Saccharomyces cerevisiae S288C: one gene and its partners. Changing the gene in region 1 together with any one later gene gives a genetic interaction. Each region holds a gene or a part of one and is shown on either strand. Other genes may lie near its edges. The genes, in order: MIS1, MRS2, MSC6 and MFM1.

Region 1 (5,322 bases):
GTCTTAAAGAAGACGACTTTGGCAAGGATAATTCTAGAAATATAGAATCATATACTGGTAGAATTTTTGACGTATATATACAAAAAGATTCGTATTCACAGTCGGCCTTGGATGATATGTTTCCAGAAGCCGTAGTTTCAACCGCCGCTTGTGTGAAAAATGAAGCGGAGGATAACATCAATCTCATAGACACGCATCCTCAATTCGAACTGGTAAATACTGGACTGGGTGCTAAATCGGACGATTTGAAATCTCCATCAGCAAAGGCTACGTTCACTGACAAGCAGAGGAAGAATGAAGTACCAAATATATCTGTGAGCAACTACTTTCCCGGACAAAGTAGCGAAACGTCGTCAACAACGGAATCTTGGACTATCGGTTGTGATAAGTGGTCAGAAAAGGTAGAAGAGGCATTCCTTGAGGCACTTAGACTGATAATGAAAAATGGGACCACAAAAATAAAAATAAGAAATGCCAATTTTGGAAGAAACGAGCTGATTTCATTATATATCAAGCACAAAACCAACGAGTTCAGAACCAAAAAGCAAATTTCTTCCCATATTCAAGTCTGGAAGAAGACCATACAAAACAAAATCAAGGACTCGCTGACCCTATCATCAAAGGAGAAGGAGCTTCTACACCTTATCGAACATGGCGCTGAACAAACTACTGAAAACTCAAACCTGTTTTATGACATATTTGAAGAAATTATCGACTCTCTACCTTCAGTCAGTGATTCTGGAAGTTTAACCCCTAAAAACCTCTATGTAAGTAATAATAGCAGTGGATTGTCAGTACATTCAAAACTGCTTACGCCAATCACTGCTTCCAACGAGAAAAAAATTGAAAATTTCATAAAAACTAATGCTGCATCTCAAGCCAAAACCCCCCTCATTTACGCTAAGCACATTTATGAAAACATAGACGGCTACAAGTGCGTTCCGTCAAAGAGGCCTCTTGAACAACTTTCCCCCACGGAACTCCACCAGGGAGATCGCCCCAATAAGGCTAGCTTTTCCAACAAGAAGGCAATCCTGGAGAGTGCAAAAAAAATCGAAATAGAGCAGAGAAAGATAATCAACAAATACCAAAGAATTTCCCGCATACAAGAACATGAAAGTAATCCTGAGTTCAGTTCCAATTCCAATTCCGGTTCAGAGTACGAATCGGAGGAAGAAGTAGTCCCAAGATCAGCCACAGTCACACAACTCCAAAGCAGACCAGTGCCATACTACAAGAATAATGGAATGCCCTACTCACTCTCCAAAGTACGAGGAAGGCCCATGTATCCAAGACCTGCTGAAGATGCTTACAATGCCAATTATATTCAAGGTCTGCCCCAGTACCAAACATCTTATTTTTCGCAGCTGTTATTATCATCACCCCAGCATTACGAACATTCTCCACATCAAAGGAACTTTACGCCATCCAACCAATCGCATGGGAACTTTTATTAAATGTCTACATACATACATACATCTCGTACATAAATACGCATACGTATCTTCGTAGTAAGAACCGTCACAGATATGATTGAGCACGGTACAATTATGTATTAGTCAAACATTACCAGTTCTCGAACAAAACCAAAGCTACTCCTGCAACACTCTTCTATCGCACATGTATGGTTCTTATTGTTTCCCGAGTTCTTTTTTACTGACGCGCCAGAACGAGTAAGAAAGTTCTCTAGCGCCATGCTGAAATTTTTTTCACTTCAACGGACAGCGATTTTTTTTCTTTTTCCTCCGAAATAATGTTGCAGCGGTTCTCGATGCCTCAAGAATTGCAGAAGTAAACCAGCCAATACACATCAAAAAACAACTTTCATTACTGTGATTCTCTCAGTCTGTTCATTTGTCAGATATTTAAGGCTAAAAGGAAATGTTGTCGAGACTATCTTTATTGAGTAACTCGAGGGCGTTCCAACAGGCCAGATGGCGCATTTACCGCTTAAAAGTTTCGCCAACTGTGCATGCTTCTCAATACCATATTCTTTCTGGTAGGAAACTTGCTCAATCTATTCGAGAAAAAGCCAATGATGAGATACAAGCCATTAAGCTTAAGCATCCTAATTTCAAGCCTACCTTGAAAATCATTCAAGTCGGGGCCAGACCAGACTCATCTACGTACGTGAGGATGAAATTGAAAGCTTCAAAGGACAGCAATGTAGACTGTATCATAGAGAAGTTACCAGCAGAAATCACTGAAGTTGAGCTTTTGAAGAAAATTAGTGACATCAATGATGATGACTCTATCCATGGGTTGCTAATTCAACTACCTCTACCGCGTCACTTGGATGAAACCACGATTACAAACGCTGTGGACTTTAAAAAGGACGTTGATGGGTTCCACAGATATAATGCTGGTGAATTGGCTAAAAAAGGAGGGAAACCATACTTCATACCATGTACTCCTTATGGTTGCATGAAATTACTTGAAGAAGCTCATGTTAAGTTAGATGGTAAGAACGCCGTCGTGTTAGGCAGATCAAGTATCGTCGGAAATCCAATTGCTTCGTTGTTGAAAAATGCGAATGCCACTGTTACTGTCTGTCATAGTCATACAAGGAACATTGCAGAAGTGGTCTCCCAAGCTGATATAGTTATCGCAGCTTGCGGTATTCCTCAATACGTTAAATCAGACTGGATTAAAGAAGGCGCCGTGGTTATTGATGTAGGTATCAACTACGTACCTGATATCAGTAAGAAAAGTGGGCAAAAATTAGTTGGTGATGTTGATTTTGATTCTGTAAAGGAAAAGACATCTTATATTACCCCTGTTCCTGGTGGAGTGGGTCCAATGACTGTCGCTATGCTTGTTTCCAATGTACTATTAGCTGCTAAAAGGCAATTCGTGGAATCTGAAAAGCTTCCAGTTATCAAACCTCTTCCATTACACTTAGAAAGTCCAGTGCCTTCAGATATTGATATATCAAGAGCTCAGAGTCCTAAGCATATCAAGCAAGTTGCCGAGGAGTTGGGAATCCACTCTCACGAATTAGAATTATACGGCCACTATAAGGCAAAAATTTCTCCAAATATTTTTAAAAGATTAGAATCTAGAGAAAACGGTAAGTACGTCCTTGTTGCAGGTATTACTCCGACTCCATTGGGTGAAGGTAAATCCACTACGACTATGGGGTTGGTGCAGGCTTTATCCGCTCATTTAGGGAAACCATCCATCGCGAACGTTAGACAACCATCTCTTGGCCCAACCCTGGGTGTCAAAGGTGGTGCTGCTGGTGGTGGTTATGCCCAAGTTATTCCTATGGACGAGTTCAATTTACATTTGACCGGGGATATTCATGCTATCAGCGCTGCGAACAATCTTCTTGCAGCAGCTATCGACACTAGAATGTTCCATGAAGCCACTCAGAAGAATGATAGTACATTTTACAAGAGACTAGTTCCAAGAAAAAAAGGCATCAGAAAGTTTACCCCATCCATGCAGAGAAGGCTTAAAAGATTGGATATTGAAAAAGAAGACCCTGATGCTTTAACACCTGAAGAAGTCAAAAGATTTGCTAGATTGAACATAAATCCCGATACTATCACTATCAGAAGAGTTGTCGACATCAATGACAGGATGTTAAGACAAATTACCATTGGCGAAGCCGCTACGGAGAAGGGTTTTACAAGGACCACTGGATTCGATATCACTGTTGCCTCTGAATTAATGGCCATTTTAGCTCTATCTAAAAGCTTACACGAGATGAAGGAACGTATTGGACGCATGGTTATTGGTGCTGATTATGATAACAAACCAGTAACAGTAGAAGATATTGGCTGTACCGGTGCTCTGACTGCATTATTACGTGACGCTATAAAGCCTAACTTAATGCAAACTTTGGAAGGGACCCCCGTAATGGTTCACGCTGGTCCTTTCGCCAACATCTCCATCGGCGCATCATCAGTAATTGCAGACTTAATGGCATTGAAGCTTGTTGGTTCAGAAAAGAACCCGTTAAATGACAAGAACATCCATGAACCTGGTTATGTAGTTACTGAAGCAGGATTCGATTTTGCCATGGGTGGTGAAAGATTCTTTGATATCAAATGTCGTTCCTCTGGATTGGTGCCAGATGCAGTTGTCTTAGTCGCAACCGTAAGAGCTTTGAAATCTCATGGAGGTGCTCCAAATGTTAAGCCCGGACAATCATTACCAAAAGAATACACAGAGGAAAACATCGATTTTGTTGCCAAGGGTGTTAGTAATTTGGTTAAGCAGATTGAAAACATCAAAACGTTTGGAATACCAGTCGTTGTAGCAATCAACAGATTTGAAACAGACTCACAGGCAGAGATTGAGGTAATCAAGAAAGCAGCCTTGAATGCTGGCGCATCTCATGCCGTTACTTCTAATCACTGGATGGAAGGTGGTAAAGGTGCAGTAGAATTAGCACATGCTGTGGTAGATGCAACGAAAGAACCAAAGAACTTTAACTTTTTGTACGACGTCAATAGCTCCATCGAGGACAAGCTTACCAGCATCGTCCAAAAAATGTATGGTGGGGCAAAAATCGAAGTATCACCAGAAGCCCAAAAAAAGATAGACACCTACAAAAAACAAGGCTTCGGTAATCTTCCCATCTGTATTGCTAAGACACAATATTCATTATCCCATGATCCATCATTAAAGGGTGTTCCTAGAGGTTTTACGTTCCCCATCAGGGATGTGAGAGCTTCAATAGGTGCAGGTTATTTATACGCTTTGGCTGCAGAAATTCAAACCATACCGGGTCTATCGACATATGCTGGTTACATGGCAGTAGAAGTCGACGACGACGGTGAAATTGAAGGTCTATTTTAAATAGTTTGGCAGACTCCTAATGGCATCAATTCGACCTCGATGTCCGTCTGCACGAGTACCCTTTATATAAACAATTGAGATGAGAATATTAGAAAAATGGGTTTTAGTTATGTAGGTATATGTGCATACATACGTATTATCGAAGTTTTTGCTACCTGTTTATTAACTGAGTATGTATATTAAGATAAATTAATTAAAGAAAATTTAAGCGTCTTCCTTCAATAAAGCATCTCTCTTTTCAGCAACTCTTTGAGCTCTTCTGTCACGAGCAGCTCTGTTCTTCAATCTTCTAGCTTCAGCTTCTTCGTTCAAAGCCTTTTCACGTTGAGCATCAGCCTTAGCTTGGATGATGTGTTCAACCAAGGCTCTCTTGTGTTTGAAAGCGTTACCCTTAGATTCCTTGTACAAAACATGGTACAAGTGCTTGTCAATCTTACCAGCATCACGGTACTTAGCCAATAATCTTCTCAAGACACGTAATCTTCTGATCCAGACAACTTGGGATGGTAAACG
Region 2 (3,506 bases), on another chromosome or scaffold:
GCCTTGTAGTGGCGGCAGAGGAAACGATATTGGATCCGTGATGAGCGTCTTCTTCCCCCACAACCCATGGTCCTTTAGCGACTTTTTCGATAACTCCATAAGTTTGTCGCTTTGCTCCACCTCATCTTTACCACCGCAACTACCAAATACCTGTCTTTGCAAAGACTCACCTAAATACTGTATCCCCACAGGATTAATCCTGGGTGCTTCTGCGGTATTCTTCTTTGTGGAGAACCATCGAGCACAAAACTGCACACGCAGCGGCCGCCGCCGCACCATTCGCAGCATGCATTCAGATCTAACCATCAATTTCGTCATACTTGTCCCTCGTTGCTCAACAACTACATATAATCCCCATCTCGACCTCTTCTTTAGAACCGTTCTTTCGTAGTCCATACCTATTGTTGTTTACTGAGTATCGGCTAAAAGTGCGCCCGAGGTCACCCGCCACGGAGAGGGGCGAAAGCGGCCATTTCGATAAGAACTCACGCTATATATCAGCAAAGAACAATAGCAGTTGCAAGAAAAGTTGTTTGTAACTGTTTTACAAAAGAGGCACAGAACAGGCCACGCACCATCCGATACAGCATGTCCTCCGCTATTACTGCTTTGACACCAAACCAAGTGAACGATGAATTGAACAAGATGCAAGCTTTCATCAGAAAGGAAGCTGAAGAAAAAGCGAAGGAAATCCAATTGAAGGCTGACCAAGAGTACGAAATCGAGAAGACCAACATCGTAAGAAATGAAACCAACAACATTGACGGCAACTTCAAGAGCAAGTTGAAGAAGGCCATGCTTTCGCAACAGATTACTAAGTCAACGATAGCAAACAAAATGAGGTTGAAGGTTCTTTCTGCTCGTGAACAGTCGCTAGACGGGATATTCGAGGAAACCAAGGAAAAGTTGTCAGGAATTGCCAACAACCGGGACGAGTACAAGCCCATTTTGCAATCATTGATCGTGGAGGCACTTTTGAAGTTGTTGGAACCTAAGGCGATTGTCAAGGCTCTTGAAAGAGACGTCGATTTAATCGAGTCGATGAAGGACGACATTATGCGTGAGTATGGGGAAAAGGCCCAGCGCGCACCATTGGAAGAGATTGTTATCTCCAATGATTACTTGAACAAAGACCTTGTTTCCGGCGGTGTTGTGGTCTCCAATGCATCAGACAAGATTGAAATTAACAACACTTTGGAGGAAAGATTGAAATTGTTAAGTGAAGAGGCATTGCCCGCCATCAGATTGGAATTGTATGGTCCTTCCAAGACAAGAAAGTTCTTTGATTGATCGACCAGCAGCTTGTATACCTACATACTTACATATACACTCCTAACAGATTTTTTTTTGTATGTTGTTCTTTCCTCTGTGGTGGTCCAGTCTTTTGTCTCTTTTTTTTTTTCTTCTTTTTTTTTTTTTTTTTTTTTTTTGCAGCATTATGATAGAACAATAGGGCTCAAGATCGCACCAAGGCTAACAGTAACGGTATACGCAATCGTAGTGAAAGTGATTTTCAATCAAGCATCTCATGAATCGGCGTCTCCTGGTACGTTCTATATCTTGTTTCCAACCTTTGTCGAGAATAACTTTTGGAAGACCAAACACGCCATTTCTTAGAAAGTATGCTGACACATCCACTGCTGCAAACACCAACAGCACCATATTGCGGAAACAGTTACTATCGTTGAAGCCCATTTCTGCCTCTGATTCACTGTTCATTTCGTGTACGGTATTCAATTCTAAGGGAAATATTATCTCAATGTCCGAGAAGTTTCCTAAATGGTCCTTTTTAACTGAACATTCCCTTTTCCCCAGAGACCTGAGGAAAATAGATAACTCCTCTATTGATATTATTCCAACCATCATGTGTAAGCCAAACTGTATTGTCATCAACTTATTGCATATCAAAGCTCTTATCGAACGAGATAAGGTCTACGTCTTCGATACAACAAACCCTTCCGCCGCTGCCAAACTGAGTGTACTTATGTATGACTTGGAGTCTAAGTTGTCCTCCACCAAGAATAACTCTCAATTTTACGAGCATAGAGCCCTCGAGAGTATTTTCATCAACGTAATGAGCGCACTGGAAACAGATTTCAAGCTTCACTCACAAATCTGTATTCAAATCTTAAATGATCTGGAAAACGAGGTCAATAGACTTAAACTGCGGCATCTTTTAATTAAGTCCAAAGATCTTACGCTTTTTTACCAAAAAACTTTATTGATTAGAGATCTATTAGATGAACTATTAGAAAACGACGATGATTTAGCAAACATGTACTTGACAGTTAAGAAGTCTCCTAAGGACAATTTTTCGGACTTGGAAATGCTTATAGAGACGTACTACACCCAATGTGATGAATACGTTCAGCAATCAGAATCTTTGATTCAGGATATCAAATCTACTGAAGAAATTGTCAACATCATATTGGACGCAAATAGAAATTCCTTAATGTTGTTGGAGTTGAAAGTTACCATCTACACGTTGGGATTCACAGTAGCATCTGTTCTGCCGGCATTCTATGGTATGAATTTAAAGAATTTCATCGAGGAGAGTGAATGGGGGTTTACTTCAGTGGCGGTATTTTCTATTGTTTCTGCCCTTTATATCACCAAGAAAAATTTTAATTCTTTAAGATCCGTGACAAAGATGACCATGTATCCAAACTCACCCGCAAACTCCAGTGTGTATCCTAAAACATCAGCGTCTATTGCCCTGACAAATAAACTAAAGCGAAGGCGGAAGTGGTGGAAATCAACCAAGCAGCGGTTGGGAGTGCTACTTTATGGCAGCAGCTACACTAATAAGGCTAACCTGTCGAATAATAAGATTAATAAAGGTTTTTCAAAGGTGAAGAAATTTAACATGGAGAATGATATTAAGAACAAGCAGAACAGAGATATGATTTGGAAATGGTTGATAGAAGACAAGAAAAATTGAAAGGCGATTATCATGATAAACTATACAATATTATTAGCATAAACCTGTATATATACATATGTAAGAAAAAAGGGTATTTAAAACTCTTTTTAACAGCAAATCTTTTGTCCTTGTAAAAACATAAATAATTAAACTAAGACTAATTATACAATGACACTTTTTTATTAAGAGCAAAATAAACAAAAAGAACTCCTATGCATTATTTTTCGTTTTATTTTAACTTCTTAAATGGAAAGCTTCTCCTTGAACAAACTTTCCAAATCATCAACTGCATCCTTTATAGCGGCTGGTTTATCACCCATACCTTGGAAAACATTACCTTTACCACCAGCCTTACCGCCGATGATACTGGACACCTTTTTGGCAAGCGCAGAACCATCAATACCCTTGGCTAAAGCAGCATTGGAGATGTAACAACCGTGAGCAACACGACCTTCAGGGTCATTACCTGCCAATAAATAGATTGACTTGTCTTTGACAGAATCATTGGATTTCATGTAGTTGATCGCTTCAGTGATAGCTTTAGCATTTGGAGAAATATCAATGAATTTAACTAGGTATGGAG
Region 3 (4,346 bases), on another chromosome or scaffold:
CACATCTTCATCTGATATGGACTTGATATTAAGAGCTATTAATTTTAGTGTAGTACCACTAGAGCTGGATTTCTCTTGTGTTGCCAACTCAGATATTATAGTGTTGCTTGAATTAGTGGATGTTTTGTCAGCAGGCAAATGTTCCTCCTTCGGATCCAACGTCCTCTTTGAAGATGTCGCTACCATACGTTACGGATACTTATAGACTTAACTCCCCCCAATAAGTTCAGGTGAAAAGTAGCATGGAGTTTTGGCATTAACTTTATTTGCCCACTTATATTTAGAGATCTTGAAATACTTTTTGTTACCCGACTTGTAGCTTCATTTTTTCATTTTTTTTTTTTTTTTTTATTTTTATTTTGTATTGTTCTTTGAAAGAATCATGCATGGAAGCAATAACTATTATACGGAAGTTATATACAAGAAATCATTATATAGTTACAGCATCATATGTGCAGAAAATTGGTTCTGAGCTTTTCTTATTGTCTTCTTATGACAAGTGTATTAAGTCAACTTTTCTGGAACAGTAATTCCATCACATTCTTTTAAAATTTGAATATCCTTAGGGTTGGGACGAAAACCCTCATTAGTGCCTAAATCTCGCATAAACTGGTTAATAAAAGCAACCTCTTTGTCAGATAACTGCTGAGTATTGCGTGCAAATGTGGCCAAGTTGAATAGAATTTTCGAAACGGCCAAGTTCGACACCCTGATACTTGAATCCTTAGCTAGATTGTAGTACTTTTCGATGTAGGGAACGTACTCGCTATGTTTACTCTTGTAAAGTTTATCACAGAACCCCAATAATAAAGCATTTAGAGGCGTATTATCCACGTTTCTCTTTCTAGTCTTTTGATATGAGAGAAAATCAGAAAACAAATTCTTTGCCTCGGCCACTGTGCCGTCAGGCTTATTAAACTCTGCGGAAATAAAGTCTGCATAATTCCTAGCATTTAAGTGAGTTCCCAATTGTTTGTAAAGTTGACGAATCGGCTCGACAGTGGGGCACACTGAAATAAAGGCTTTCGTAATCTTTTCAACCTTTTCATAATCGGTGGGATTAATGGAAACACTTTGCAATAGATCGAATTGTGGGCGTGTATCTTCTGCCTGAAATTTATAATTAGCGTACATTTTAATGCTTAGAGTATCCAAAGTAGGGGGTAACACACCATCTGATGGATAATGGTTATAGTAAAATGTGTTGAATTGTTCTTCGCTCACTTTTTCATCATCTAACATTAGCAATAAAACTTTATTGAACAACTTCTTGGTTTTAACAGTCTCTGCTAACTCCCCTTTGACTTGGTCATACTTTAGAGGCGAAGTTTGACATAAGGCCAGGAGAAATGCTTCCTTCACGATGGGATCTTTCTTGAACTTTTTAGGAAGTTCTTCTTCCCAAAATTCCTTTAAATGGTTGAAATTTCCAGAATCAGTTAGTGCGTTAACTAGCGTCGCATAAGATGTGTTTTTAATATTATCTCCTGGTTTGATAACACTGTTCCAGACTGCTAGAATTCTGTCCAACTTCTCTTTACTCGATTTAGCTCGTAAGTGCGACACAGCTCTTAAAAGACAATCTTTCAGCGACGTACTATTTGGGAAAACCTTGCTATACTGGTTATAAATAGTAACAACTTGGTCGGGTTTATCCAAATCAATAAACTTGTCCATGAACTTGCTTATGATCTCTACATTTTTCTCACCTTCAAGTTTATTGTATTGGCCATAAAGATCCCTTAAATCTATCCATCTAGGAGCATTTTCAATTTGACTTAAGAAATGATCACTATCCTGTACTGTGTATTGATAGTACAAAGTGTTTAGATTTTTGATAATCACGTCTCTTCTTTCAAGAGAGCTAAATTCTGTACTTAACATTCTTCTAATCATGTTAAAAGGTAAAACCTGGCCCATTTTACGATCGATCTGTAAAATCTTATACAGAATATTGATATCCACAGTATTCTCTGGTAAAGATAAGTAAGCAATGGTGGTAATTGCAATATTTTGCATATGTGCACGAGAAGAACTATTTTGAAGTAAGATCACTGGGTTTTCGGAAATGGTTTCCAAGTACTTCACCCATAAGGCAATAACGTCCTGTGGTGATTGATTATATAGAAGGTACTTTAAAACAATCGTGAAATGTTGTGAGCGTGCCAATTTGTATTGGCACAATGTGTTTAATACTTGATAAGGATCTAGCGTCATATTTTTGCTTCTGTAACTTAATTCCTGTAGGAGATCCGAAGAAAAATTCGCTAACAAGTGTGATCTTTCCATAGGTGAAGGGTTCCTTAATTTCTGTTTCAACGATTCAATCTTATCTTTAAAGTCATTAAAAACTTCATTGATATCTGAATCTGGAGCTTTCAACTCGTTCTTCAAATCAGCAGCCAAATTTTGTACCCTTTCAAACGGTGAGACGTGCTTTTCTCTATTTCCTGAATGTCCATCATCTGTTTCTTGTAAGTGAACGCTGCTTTGTTGGTATATCGATGTTGAAGAGGTTAGACATCTTCGTGAAATAATCACCTTTGAACAATCAAAGGCCCTTAAAGCATTATGGGAAAGCATCTGTATCCCAGTGGAAGGCTCTGATATTATTTTGTGCAGAGCCAACTTAAGCAAACATATAGACAGTACGTCCTTAGTTAGACATGTGTAGCAATTGAACGATTCCACAGGCGGTATGTATATCGTATATGATGATATTACATTTTACTTACCCCGCTTTTTCCCTCTTATAATCGATTAATTACTTAGTCGACGAGCAACCTTTTATGGCATATTTGAAAGGTAATACAATGTTCCAACTTCGTTTTTTATTCACAGATCAATTAACGTATTGGCACACCTGATATTTCCTCAATAGTAAGTAGTTTTGGTGATGTAACTTTGACACTACCTTCGACCGAATATTCACTTATAAAACTTATATATTACTTGCTTTTACTTCTAACTTGTCTGGAGAGTTCAATCTTTGTTTTCAGCTCTATATACCGGTTTTCTGCATCGGCGGCTAAATGGTATTCTTTTCCGCTTGGCTCTACACAATGTTTATTAAGCTGAGCGTCGGTGTTTCCGATTTGGACCGTTTGACTTTCTTTTTGGACTGGTTTTCTTTTTTAGTACGAGGTGTACGGACAAAAGATACTAACGGACAAAACGCGGTTGCAACTGAAATTTTTTTTTCACTATTTTCGTAGGGCACATTGGTGTAAATATATATATATATACTCAAGGTTCATCTCGTTTTTTTTAATATTCTTGTTCCTTACTCTTGATCATACGTAGAATGTATGTCTTTATCCTGAAAGTAAAGAAAGGATTATACAATGCTGAAATGTTAGTACTAAATATGAGCATACAATCACTTGTTGTTCACTAGTTCAACGAGTTTCATTCATATTCAACTCACGCAAGGGATTATGGAAGAAGAATCCTTTTTATGAAAGGGAAAAAAAACCGAAATACTATGTTAACTGCTTCCAACGCTCTATACTAATGCGCATGAAGATTTTACTTGCGAATCAAACTGATTCGCACGCAATATCTAAGTCTGCTATACCTACCTTACATCTCGCCGTATGTTATGGGTGCAAGGGTGTTTTTTTTTTTTTATATTTTTTTTGTTTGGGGTTTTCGATACTTTGTGAAGGAACGACGCAGAAAAAAACGAAAATCATACGCCCGATGAAATTTTTGATAAGAAAATTTTCTGAAAACCCATGCGATGAGAAGTCAAAAATTTTTCTTCTTCTCCTTTTCTTGTACTTTTATCCCGGCTAGTTCTTTTTCTAAAATTTTCATATTCCAGTCCAATATTTTACTTCATTTTTTTTTTCTGTTCTCGCTTGGCTTGATTTAATTTTTTACGTAGGTTTTTTTTACACGATATTGTTTGTATTATCAGTATTCCCTTCAAGCTCCCCTTTTTTTTATCAATTAAGGTTCTTGGTAATTTCTATTTCTGAAAAACCAAAAACAAAAAGTCATTGATTGACTATTTGACTCAAATTACCAAAATCATAACTTTTCTTTTCAGCATTCCATTATTGAAGGCTTTAAAATAATAGTTTCTTTTTTCCTATTATTTTATTTTTTCCTTTACATTGGAATACATTTTATTTTGAGTTTTAATTTTTTTTATTTTCTATTCCATTGTTTTTTATTTGCTTTGGACTGCCCTTTTCGTAATAATTTCCCTTTTTACCCTATTTTAGTCACTTCTGTGTCAGCAAGCGGGATTATATAAAGAAACGTTAGCAGAAACAATATCAGCAAAATAGAAAATAAACGGGCAATCAATCAATAACTACAGAAATATTGGGAGGTTT
Region 4 (3,337 bases), on another chromosome or scaffold:
TCTAAGAGATGCTGCTGCCTATGCCGACAAAGTCAACGGTAGAACAATCAACACCGGTGACGGCTACATGAACTTCACCACCTTAGAGCCAATCGGTGTCTGTGGTCAAATTATTCCATGGAACTTTCCAATAATGATGTTGGCTTGGAAGATCGCCCCAGCATTGGCCATGGGTAACGTCTGTATCTTGAAACCCGCTGCTGTCACACCTTTAAATGCCCTATACTTTGCTTCTTTATGTAAGAAGGTTGGTATTCCAGCTGGTGTCGTCAACATCGTTCCAGGTCCTGGTAGAACTGTTGGTGCTGCTTTGACCAACGACCCAAGAATCAGAAAGCTGGCTTTTACCGGTTCTACAGAAGTCGGTAAGAGTGTTGCTGTCGACTCTTCTGAATCTAACTTGAAGAAAATCACTTTGGAACTAGGTGGTAAGTCCGCCCATTTGGTCTTTGACGATGCTAACATTAAGAAGACTTTACCAAATCTAGTAAACGGTATTTTCAAGAACGCTGGTCAAATTTGTTCCTCTGGTTCTAGAATTTACGTTCAAGAAGGTATTTACGACGAACTATTGGCTGCTTTCAAGGCTTACTTGGAAACCGAAATCAAAGTTGGTAATCCATTTGACAAGGCTAACTTCCAAGGTGCTATCACTAACCGTCAACAATTCGACACAATTATGAACTACATCGATATCGGTAAGAAAGAAGGCGCCAAGATCTTAACTGGTGGCGAAAAAGTTGGTGACAAGGGTTACTTCATCAGACCAACCGTTTTCTACGATGTTAATGAAGACATGAGAATTGTTAAGGAAGAAATTTTTGGACCAGTTGTCACTGTCGCAAAGTTCAAGACTTTAGAAGAAGGTGTCGAAATGGCTAACAGCTCTGAATTCGGTCTAGGTTCTGGTATCGAAACAGAATCTTTGAGCACAGGTTTGAAGGTGGCCAAGATGTTGAAGGCCGGTACCGTCTGGATCAACACATACAACGATTTTGACTCCAGAGTTCCATTCGGTGGTGTTAAGCAATCTGGTTACGGTAGAGAAATGGGTGAAGAAGTCTACCATGCATACACTGAAGTAAAAGCTGTCAGAATTAAGTTGTAATGTACCAACCTGCATTTCTTTCCGTCATATACACAAAATACTTTCATATAAACTTACTTGGTCTTACGTCATAAATAAATATGTATACATATAAATTAAAAAATTTGGTTTTATATTTTTACAAAAAGAATCGTTTACTTCATTTCTCCCTTTTAAGCGATACAATCCATGAAAAAAGAGAAAAAGAGAGAACAGGCTTGTGCCTTCTTTAAAACATCCCACACAAAATCATATTGAATTGAATTTTACATCTTAAGCTAGTGTACAACAACTGCTATATCCAAAGAAAACTAACGTGGACCGCTTTTAGAGTTGAGAAAAAGGTTTGAAAAAAATAGCAATACAAAGACTTGTTTCATATATAAAATACAGGGAGCACATTGAGCTAATATAACATAAACACTGCGAACCAATTCCAATCAAAAGGTACACATGAGAGCATTCCCCCGAGTACTGCCATTTCGCCATCAGAGATCATATAATAACATCCTTCTTCGAACAGTAAGGCTTTTTGGTTCATCACTTTCTTCTTTTGATTTCTCTAGGCAAATGCCTAAGGTGGACCCTGACAATACCGCTGCAATGCTACTACAGAAAAACTTGATCCAAAGAAACAACATGCTCTATGGGTATGGATCAGGGACAATACGATGTACTTTGCTAGACTCAACTGGACGAGCCAAATCACCATTAGTAGAGATAAAACGTGAGGATCTAGTATCAAAACATGGCTTGTTGCCCAGAGATCTACGTAAAATTGAAAAATCAAGGAAGAATGACTTAGTCCCTAGTTTGCTCGTGCGAGAAAATTCCATACTAATCAGTTTACTTACTGTGAAAGCCCTAATTAAGCCTGATATGGTTATTATCTTCGATTCAGCCGGCAGTGGAATAACTTTAAACTCAGAAGCTCACAAGGATTTTATTAACGATATGAAATTGAGACTAAAAAATCAAGAAACAAGCGAGCTAAATAGCGATCCACTTCCTTATGAATTCAGAGCTTTAGAAACGATCTTCATTTCGGCATTATCTAACCTTACCAGTGAAATGAAGGTGTTGCTAACCATATGCAAGGGGGTGCTTCAAGATCTAGAATTTAGTATAACAAGAGATAAATTAAGGTTCTTACTGGGTCAAAACAAAAAATTGAGCAGCTTCAATAAAAAGGCTGTTCTAGTTAAAGATATGCTGGATGACTTGCTAGAGCAAGACGATATGCTTTGTGATATGTACTTAACCGACAAAAAGGCTGGAAAAATTAGAGTTCAAGATGATCATACTGAAATTGAAATGCTTCTGGAAACATATCATAACTATGTCGATGAAATAGTTCAGAAAAGCGAAAGCGCCATATCTGACGTGAAAACCACAGAAGAAATCATCAATATAATCCTAGATTCTAACAGAAACGAATTAATGCTGTTAGGGATAAGATACGCCATAGGAATGCTTTCGTTGGGAGGCGCTCTATTCCTGGGTTCTATCTATGGTATGAATCTGGAAAGTTTCATAGAAGAAAGTAATTATGCGTATTTAACTGTCACCATTTTGGGGTTAATATCTACTGTTTGGCTCTATGCGAAGGGAATCAGACATTTGCATAAATTACAACGTATGACATTATTGAGTAAAATAAAAACAGATTCCGTTCACGAACTGTTGAAGAAATAGTTATCACGAAGAGTCAATCAATCTTTTTAATACGCATTCAAATGAATAAGAACAACTTTCACTTTTTTAAGTATATAAAAAGCCGTACAGGCGAACGTATATAATTAAAATTCTTTGGAAAAAAAGAAAGCTCGCACTCAGGATCGAACTAAGGACCAACAGATTTGCAATCTGCTGCGCTACCACTGCGCCATACGAGCTTTTGTTGTATAGTTTTAAGGCAATAGAATAATAACACTTATCCACGCAACAGTAATGTGGTTAAATAATAACTTCCTGTCAGGACTTGTGGTTGATTGGTGAAAATCAAATATCATGCTGACTACTAGAAATATTAGCAGTATATTATCATATACGGTGTAAGAAGATGAGATAAGGATTGAGAAACAGTCATCAAGTTTAATGAAAGTGAAATGAAAGGATTGATTATATAATAGGATAATGAATCACAAAGTATAAAAAGAAGGAAGAAAAAATGATATCATTGAGAAATTGATGAATTTTGAGATAATTGTTGAGATTTAATTGTTGATAAAGGCAATAATATTAGGTATA

What was found.
Region 2: mutations in MIS1 (region 1) and MRS2 together harm fitness more than expected from each alone (negative genetic interaction), as found in Saccharomyces cerevisiae (2 studies listed by BioGRID).
Region 3: mutations in MIS1 (region 1) and MSC6 together harm fitness more than expected from each alone (negative genetic interaction), as found in Saccharomyces cerevisiae (2 studies listed by BioGRID).
Region 4: mutations in MIS1 (region 1) and MFM1 together harm fitness more than expected from each alone (negative genetic interaction), as found in Saccharomyces cerevisiae (2 studies listed by BioGRID).

What each region holds. Positions count from the first base shown.
Region 1 is NC_001134.8:409,173-414,494, forward strand, and holds MIS1 (trifunctional formate-tetrahydrofolate ligase/methenyltetrahydrofolate cyclohydrolase/methylenetetrahydrofolate dehydrogenase MIS1), read left to right. Parts: upstream 1-1,881; coding exon 1,882-4,809; downstream 4,810-5,322. Other genes in the region: TEC1 (Tec1p), read left to right, coding at 1-1,457; 60S ribosomal protein eL19 RPL19A, read right to left, coding at 5,014-5,322. UniProt on the Saccharomyces cerevisiae protein: Mitochondrial isozyme of C-1-tetrahydrofolate synthase.
Region 2 is NC_001147.6:943,068-946,573, forward strand, and holds MRS2 (Mrs2p), read left to right. Parts: upstream 1-1,528; coding exon 1,529-2,941; downstream 2,942-3,506. Other genes in the region: DNA-directed DNA polymerase gamma MIP1, read right to left, coding at 1-318; VMA4 (H(+)-transporting V1 sector ATPase subunit E), read left to right, coding at 589-1,290; ALA1 (alanine--tRNA ligase), read right to left, coding at 3,166-3,506. UniProt on the Saccharomyces cerevisiae protein: High-conductance magnesium-selective channel that mediates the influx of magnesium into the mitochondrial matrix.
Region 3 is NC_001147.6:1,000,643-1,004,988, forward strand, and holds MSC6 (Msc6p), read right to left. Parts: upstream 2,584-4,346; coding exon 505-2,583; downstream 1-504. Other genes in the region: SOG2 (Sog2p), read right to left, coding at 1-186. UniProt on the Saccharomyces cerevisiae protein: May be involved in the control of meiotic sister-chromatid recombination.
Region 4 is NC_001148.4:432,983-436,319, forward strand, and holds MFM1 (Mfm1p), read left to right. Parts: upstream 1-1,540; coding exon 1,541-2,782; downstream 2,783-3,337. Other genes in the region: aldehyde dehydrogenase (NADP(+)) ALD6, read left to right, coding at 1-1,108. UniProt on the Saccharomyces cerevisiae protein: Mitochondrial inner membrane magnesium transporter required for mitochondrial magnesium homeostasis. Modulates the conductance of the MRS2 channel.